Linked DNA regions of Macaca mulatta. The protein of the gene in region 2 interacts with the protein of the main gene of each other region in a pairwise test. Links are inferred from orthologs where the notes say so. Each region holds a gene or a part of one and is shown on either strand. Other genes may lie near its edges.

What was found.
Region 1: the proteins of SETDB2 (region 2) and ARL14EP interact in binary tests that used the Homo sapiens proteins (3 or more experiments, as listed by UniProt). The two-hybrid records come from large-scale screens. The link is inferred for Macaca mulatta from reciprocal best matches to the Homo sapiens genes SETDB2 and ARL14EP.

The regions. Positions count from the first base shown.
Region 1 is NC_133419.1:34,922,349-34,926,876, reverse strand, and holds the start of ARL14EP (ARL14 effector protein), read left to right. Parts: upstream 1-1,539; 5' UTR 1,540-1,591; intron 1,592-4,528.
Region 2 is NC_133422.1:28,716,506-28,720,324, forward strand, and holds part of SETDB2 (histone-lysine N-methyltransferase SETDB2), read left to right. Parts: intron 1-1,569; coding exon 1,570-1,686; intron 1,687-2,305; coding exon 2,306-2,475; intron 2,476-3,819. UniProt on the Homo sapiens protein: Histone methyltransferase involved in left-right axis specification in early development and mitosis. Specifically trimethylates 'Lys-9' of histone H3 (H3K9me3).

The DNA.
Region 1 (4,528 bases), on a different chromosome or scaffold from region 2:
TCCAATAAAGCAGGTGTGTACCATTGGCCCAAAGCACTTTCCACCTGTGGGTCTCCTTGCTGACACCTCATCTCTGGTCCTCATAAGTATACCATCAGCAGAGAAGGCTGTTGTGGCAGATAGAATATATGCACATTACTTAACCCATGATTCAGGTGATGGTGTCCTTCCACTTGCTTGCACCTTATCCTAACTGTGTCCACTTACCACAACTCTTCCACCTTTTCACTGGATACTGAAATTAAATAGGCTATATTATTTAATAATCTTAATTCAAGCTGTGAGCCTTCTGTTTCATTACCTTTAGGAGAGCTTGCCTCGTTTACTGGGAAGCCACCATTGCATCAAATTAGTTTCCCACATGACAGTTCCATGCAGGCATTAATCTGCTCCCAGAACACTCCTGCTTTAGCCCTATCATTTTATTCTGTTTATATCCATGTGTTTCTGTTATGACACTTTTCACACCACACTGTGATTAACTGTTTATTCCTCTCTCACTAGTTTGTGAGTTCCTTGGAAGCAGAAATACATTTTATTCTTTTTGTCTAATCATTACTTAACAAAGTGCCAACCACAAAGTAAACAGTAAAAGAATTATAGAATGCAACCTCCTGCAGACACAGTTGAAGAAATTACCCATTGTTTTTTTCCTTTCTGTCGTTCCCTAGTTCTAGGCATCAATCGCCTGCCTAGTCGGGGAGCAGTATGAAAGTGGTGGGAGGACTATAGACTCACTGCAGAAAACAGCTTACAGTAATGCAGTGAATTACTAGCAAGTTTGGACCTTGGTGGAGCTTGTCTTATTTGCCTGTTCACTGGGGGGTTTCAAACAATAGTTTTTGTTTCCCTGCTATCCCGAACTTAAAATAATTAAGCCAAGAATCTTTAAGAGATGTTCTGTTCTCCAAGATTCTAGATAATAAAACCTACTGTAAAAATTAATGAGCACCTATACTGTGACAGACAATAAAGATACAAGAAAAATGCCATTTCTGTTCTGAGAAAATTTACAAGGATTTTCCTGGAGCCTACATTTTACTCGAAGTAATAGCTATTCTTATAGCTTACAATAAAAGATGCATTTTGGAATATATTTCGCTTGAATGAAAGAAATAGAACGTGAGACCTTAAACAACGGGTCCATTCTTCAGATCCTTTTAACACACCCTCCTTCAGAGGTCGGGGTATTTGCGTGCAAAAGTTTACTATCACGCACAGGTGTGGAGATTTACAAATACAATCCAATTTAATGGGAACTGTGTCTTGTAAGAGATGGCCCCCAGGGACCTCCCATATCCCTAACCTCTCGGAGGACTGCAAAACACAGCTTCTGGAGCAACTCTTGCCTCGCCTTGAATCATTTGCCACTTCACTCCGCCCCGCCCCTTCCGTCCCCGGAGGCCGCCAGATTTGTGTCCGCTCTAGGCTTCTCCCGGACGTCTCTTTGTGGTGGCGTTGAGCTCCTCTAGCCCGCGCTTGCCGTCCTCTCAGTGGTAGCGCGGGGACTGGCTGGGAAGCGGGCGGTCGAGTGTGTCGTGTGTGGACGCGGATCCTGCCCGAAGCCGGGCGGAGGAGAGCTGAAGCTAAGGTGGAAGGGGAGCGGGGGAGGCCCTGGGGAGGAGCGGGAGAGTGCAGACGGGCCCCTGAGTGGCGAGGGAGCCCGGCGGCGTCACGGGGGAACCCGGAGAGAGGGGGAAGAGGAGGCCCGCACACGTGAGGGGGATTTCCGCAGTTGGCCGGGGCCTCTCACCCCCAGATCAACCCCTACCCCATAGTTCATCTGCGACGCAACGCCTTGGGCCAAAGCCCAGAACAGGTTCTGCCGCCTCTGACCTCTCCGAGGGTCGTCGCGTGTCCAGTAGGCCCAGGGCCTTCAAAGCTACGATTTTGACTTGAACTACTTAGAATTATATTGTGGCCTTGAACCCTGTAGACAGCCTGTATCTCTGCTATTTTTGTTTTTAATTTTTCAAATCAGAATCTTCTCAACCCTGGCCCTTTGAAGTCAAAGGCTAATGTTTATTTTTCCATCCCGGTACCTTGAACTTAGTAGGTGCCCATTGGACGGGTCTGGTGGTTTTAGTCATTTGTAAATAGCCGTGAACTAAGGACGAAATGTATGTGGCCTCTTACAGGGTTGGGGTGGGAATCATTGCAGGGTTTGGGGACACTCTGTTAGGCATGATGACAAAAGCTGTAGGCTTGAGTTTCTTCATCTGTAAATGAGAATGATAGTACTTTCCTCAGGGTGGCTATGAAGGTTCCTGAGATGATATTTGCCCTAAGCACTGTACCTGGCATGTCGTGACTACCACACTTGAACCAAATGTTTTCAATGATGTTATAGACTATATTTTTGTTTTAAATTAACTTTACCTTTCTTATTGTGCCTAGATCTTGAGGATTGAGACTCTCCTCTTGGCCTTTGGGCTCTTTGATTAATGCCAATTGTCATGTTATAGGTAATCAGTATTTGAAGATGACAGGCACAAAAAGTTCACAGTTGCAAGATGCGTAACTTTTGTAGGTGTCTGTGCCCTTAACTAAAGCTACTGATTTGGGGCGTAGGGGTAGATTAAACTATATTTTTGTTAAATAAGAGATAATCTGGGAAGATGCTTTATAAGTTGCAAGACCCTATGCCAAAAAAAAAAGCCTTTAATTTTTTTCATAAAACATTTCATGAAAGTTTGTTTTCTGTTTTTCGTAAAAGAGACATCAGTTACAAAACGAGGTACATTTTTTGTTTTGTTAAATTTCCTCTAAATCTTACTTTCCCACTAATAAGGAGACTGGTAACAAACTAAAAAACTATGTTAACATGAATTAACATATTGGAACGGGTATTTCTGCATCTCCTCCACAAATTTAGGAAGAAAAAGTGAGTTCCGTGATTAATCCTCAATTCCCTCTGCTGTTGTTTTGGTAGTGGCTGTTTTGCTGTTTTGGTAGTGTCTGTTCTGCTGTTTTGGTAGTGGCTGTTCTGCTGTTTTGGTAGTGGCTGTTCTGCTGTTTTGGTAGTGGCTGTTCTGCTGTTTTGGTAGTGGCTGTTCTGCTGTTTTGGTAGTGTCTGTTCTGCTGTTTTGGTAGTGTCTGTTCTGCTGTTTTGGTAGTGGTGGTGGGGTGTTCTGCATTAACACCTCGAAACCCCTGTGATAATGTCCTAGACCTTGCTTTATTAGGAAGTCTTGCAAGCATCATGGCCACGTATGATTTTTCTCAGCTTCCTCAACCTAGTCTACCTTCCTTACCGTTTTTTAATGGGTAGCAAGAGATAATGCTTAAGAACTCTTTAAAACTACTGATGTTTTAAAGTAAAGCTGGTTAATTCCCTGAGCCGGCAGCGTTCAAATTGTATGAAGAACAAATACTTTTGTTTACTACCTAAGGTAGTAGGAGAGGTCTAATCAATGTATTCTACATTTATTTCATTCTCTTTTGATTCTTAGGTAGTGCTACAAAAATATTAAATGTTAATCTTAGAATCACAAAACATGCTGTATTTAGGCACTAAAGTAAAATGATACCAATCCTAAGGCAGGAGAAAGTCTTAATTTTCTCCTATGCAGAATTTTTAAGACAATGTCAAATAAGAAATCTGGACTTAGGAGAGACTTTATTCAAAAGGGTTATTGCAAGAGGAGAAAAGGGACTTTTGCAATGGGTGGAACCAAAAGATCTGCAAGAGTCTCCAAGGAGTGAACCGTGCTGGAAAGTTTTGGTGTGAGGAAGTAGAATATAAGGGTGGCTTGATCTAATAGTAGATCTGAGAATGTTATTCCCTGGCTCTGGCTGAGAGTTGGCTGAAGTTCAGGAACCTGGGGGAAGGAGAGAAACTAAAGTTTAACAAATATTTTGTTCCACTTGATCTGGAGGGCCACGCAGCTGAGCAAATTATTCATAAATTCGTAATTGAAGCAAAAAATGGGAATTTGGAGGGTCTTTCTCTGGCCTGGTCATAGGTAAACAAGGGGGGATCCTTGAGTCTTACCTAACTCAAGGGTGGATTTTTTAAATTATAGCTAATAAAGAACCAGCGCAGGGCTCAAGCAAAATTCACCTTGTCAAAAAGTGGTTTTATTATTTGACATTGAAAAGTATTGAAAACCTGGATTTTATTTATACCGTGGTGAATCTTTCTAAGACTGGGGTGTTTGTTACTGGTTTGCTTGTTATCCTATAAGAAGCTGGATTTTTTTCTTCTTCCATGAGGAGTACTAGGTTTTATACTGACCAGAGTGATTGAATGGAGCAAATTAATATTTTCTTGCATTAAAAGATTATTAAAATAGGAACTGGTAAGATGCTACAACCAGTTTAAGTGACAGTTAAAAGTAGACATGTTTATAGAGCAGAAATATTGAAATAAATACACAAGTGAAGGCAAAATTGGCTGCTTCCACAGTGAGACAAATTCTATCACTGACCTTCACCAGATAGAATTTACAAGAATACAATTATTTTGCCTTGCTGTTGGTTATCTACAGTTGACAGTTGTAAAATAACTCCAAGATGCTGAAAGAAT
Region 2 (3,819 bases):
CCTGTAATCCTAGCTCTTTGGGAAACTAAGGTAGGAACATCATTTGAGCCCAGGAGTTCGAGACCAGCCTGGGAAACCTAGCGAAACCCCATCTCTACAAAAATACAAAAGTTAGCCCAGCGTGGTGGGACGCACTTGTAGTCCCAGCTACTCAAGAGTCTGAGGTGGGAGGATCACCTGAGTCCAGGGAGGTCAAGGCTGCAGTGAGCCGAGATTGCGCCACTGCACTCCAGCCTGGGCAACAGAGTGAGACTCCTTCTCCAAAAAGAAAAGAAAAACTATTAACTTAATTGTATATGAAGTGAGCAATACCTAATCCTGTAGAAAAGTTAAAAGGAATTAACTAGATTTGTATATAGCATGGATGGGTCTCAAAAACATTATACTGAACAAAAAAAAAAGCAAGTTATAGAATAATACCTATAGTAAATTTTTTTGTAATGAAAAGCACACAATGTATTGTTTGTAGATACATGTGTATATAAAAGCATAAAGGATGCCACACTAAATCTCTTGAAAGAGTTTAGTTATATCTGTAATGTTTTACTTTTTAACTTTTTTTAAGAAGACCATGCATATGTGGTGTATATGTGGTATGTATATTTTAAATTATATATACAGGGAAAAGAACTAGATAAAATGCTGACAACTAATTCTGGATGGTGAAAATATGGATGTTTATTATCTGTATTTTTCTGTACTGTATTGTTCTGTACTTTTTAAACTTTGCACACAAAATCACATGGGAGAAAACAATTACAGATTTTCATATCTGTAAACAGAATCCAAATTAATGAATTTGTTGATTGTTGTCATTGTTCTTTTCTCTTGCAAACAAGCAGCCACCATTCTGATGTGTATGAATTAATAGAGAAAATACAGAAGAGAATCATAGAGGAAAAGACCTTAAAGTCACTTGTTCAGCAAAGGAAACTAAGATCCAGAGATTTTAACCAGCTCACCAGCAGTCACTTACCTAGTTATACAGCTAGAGTCCCCAAGTTCCTTACTTTGTATCAAATTATGGTTCCCTATCAAATTAGTTAATCATCTGAATAGAGGGGAAAGTACATAAAGTTTTATGGTTGCAAGCTTCCTGCCTCGCAACAGTATGAAAAAAGGATTCAATAATAGCGTCAATCTCCCCAGTCTGTTTCTGTGTCACTGGAGTGAGAGAGAACTTAAGACATCTGCAAAACTACATCTTTACAAATTTGACATATTTAAGTTTATCCATTGTAAAAGAGCAGAACTAGCAGAATTCTCACAAACAAACTTCTGTGCTGTACAGTGAAATTAAAGGAATTGATTTTTAAAAGCTAAACTCATATAGTTAAGTATTTTATGAGCAAATAGAGATGCAGTGCAGTTTACAATTATTTATAAACTTTTGGGAGGTATTGTCTTTCAAAGAGATCTGTGTAGGGAAAAAGCTCATAGTGTTCATGAGCCAAACTATTCTAAATGCTATTGCATCTTTTATTACATCATTTACACTTTTATCAAGACAGTCTCTTGACTTAACTTGGTGCTTTTTCATTCTTTCTCCAACCACTGCCTTCCTTTTAGAACAAAATGTGCATGTCTTCAATTGACAGCAAGGAATGCCAAAACTTCCCCCTTGTCAAGTGACAAAATAACCACTGGATATAAATATAAAAGACTACAGAGACAGATTCCTACTGGGTAAGGTACCTTGAAGATTTGTTGCAGGGTGTGTATATCTTTGAAGGTGGGTACCTTTTATTGTGGTCTAAAATCATATAGATGTTATATCTAGTTTAATTTGGTTCCAATACCAAAAATCTAAATTATTAAGGAATAAAAATCCTGTATATTGTTCATGGAAATGGTAGTCAGAGACCACACATACATCATGCGGAGTGTACTCGAACACTCATCTGCTTTGAGACTGGCTCTTACCCCTGTAGGATCAGCCTACTTTGGGCAGCCATTTCTCCATTTAAAAATACGCTGTTTAGAACTCATTTGAGAATTGGGAATTTTCAACCTTTCAAGGTACTGACTCACTTTATCTTCACAAAGCAGCTCTATAAGGGAGGTACTGTCATATAATCTCCATTTTAAAAATGCAAAGATAAAGCACAGAGAAGTTAAATAACTCATCCAAGATAATACAGCTAGTAAATGTGGAAGCTGTGATGGGAACCCAGGCACCCTATCTCTAAGAGCTTTCACATTTAGCCTGCTTCCCTCAGTAGTTGTCAGTGCCAGTGAAGTGGCAATAAACTGCTTTTTGCTTTATGAGGTGTCTGTTTTTCTCTTTTGCATATTTTGTTGACAGCATTTATGAATGCAGCCTGTTGTGCAAATGTAATCGACAGTTGTGTCAAAACCGTGTTGTCCAACATGGTCCTCAAGTGAGGCTACAGGTGTTCAAAACTGAGCAGAAGGGATGGGGTGTACGCTGCCTAGATGACATTGACAGAGGGACGTTTGTTTGCATTTATTCAGGTAAAGCAAAGGTTTATTTTAAAATTATTCTAGGGTAGGATCCTCTTTTCTGAATATCCATTTTCCTAGCCAGGGCCGTTGAGAGCTTACAACAAGGTAAAGAGTAACAGTATCTAAAAGGAACATCAGAGAAAGGCAGATGAACTGGGAACTTGAGCACTAAAAAGATGAGATGCTTAGGAGGTACTTTCTTCAAGAAAAGAAAGGTTCAGAGATGACACGGGTTTTTGTGTGAGGGCTTGTTATGTCCAAGGCACATTTGTTTTGTCCGCATGGCTACAGGTACTTTGGGGTAAGGGAAGAAAACTTTTTAAAAGTAAAAAAACTAGATGACTAGCTTGCCAAGGTAAAGATTACCAGTCAAAAACTTTCTTATTCAATGTTTTGAGCTATTATTAGAATTTAACAAGTTAATTATGTAATATCTGCATGTTATAATTCAGTCAGTGACTTTAGGCAACTCACTCTATTTTGGGGACTGCAGAGAGTTGTCCATGCCGCAGAGCAAAACTTCCTGAGCAGTGTGTTACAGTCATGCAATTACTGATTCTTTAGGGCCACAGCCCCCAGGACCAAACACATCAGTCTTCGGTAGTCTTACACATTTACCTCCAGCATGTCAGGCAAAACCCCTTATTTTCTGTGCACATCCTTATGTGAGAAAGTTTGGGAAACACGGCTTTAGAGCCAGTCTAAAGGAATTGTCCTTGACTTAGTTCTAGCAGCTAGGCAGCAGGGAACAGAACAACCAGGTTCTGAAAATTACTCATCTGAAAAAATCAGGTTTATCTGTTTACATGACCAAGTGCTTAAAAAAGAAAAGAAAAGAAATGTCAGGTTCACATCAGGGAGGGCAAGAAAAAGCTTGCAGAGTTATCTGAATTCAGAGTAGTCACACATATGGATCCCTGCCACTCCCCACTTACAGATCCACATTCTACACAGCCTGCCTAGACATTCATCTCTCATACTTCTCAAAATAACTGTTGGATGAAAGCTACCTGTAAAATGCCAAGCAGTGTCCAGGAAGTATCATTGGTTTTATCATTGTTGCTAGAAAATATACCTAAGATATGTCTCTGACCTAATGATGGGTAAGAATATCCTGCTATTAATTTGGACTTGGCAATTATAATATTGAATCCCTTGAAAGAAAATGCATAAACTTTAAGATTTTAGTGTTATGCAGAACTTAATATGACAACACTAGGAACATATCACCACATATTTAAACAGATACTTTTGTTAAAAATTGTAAGTTTCAGATGATAAAGCCTTTTTAACTAGACAAAAGCTACAATTTTATGACTAGAGGTCATCTCTAATTTTCTAGGGTATTTTCTG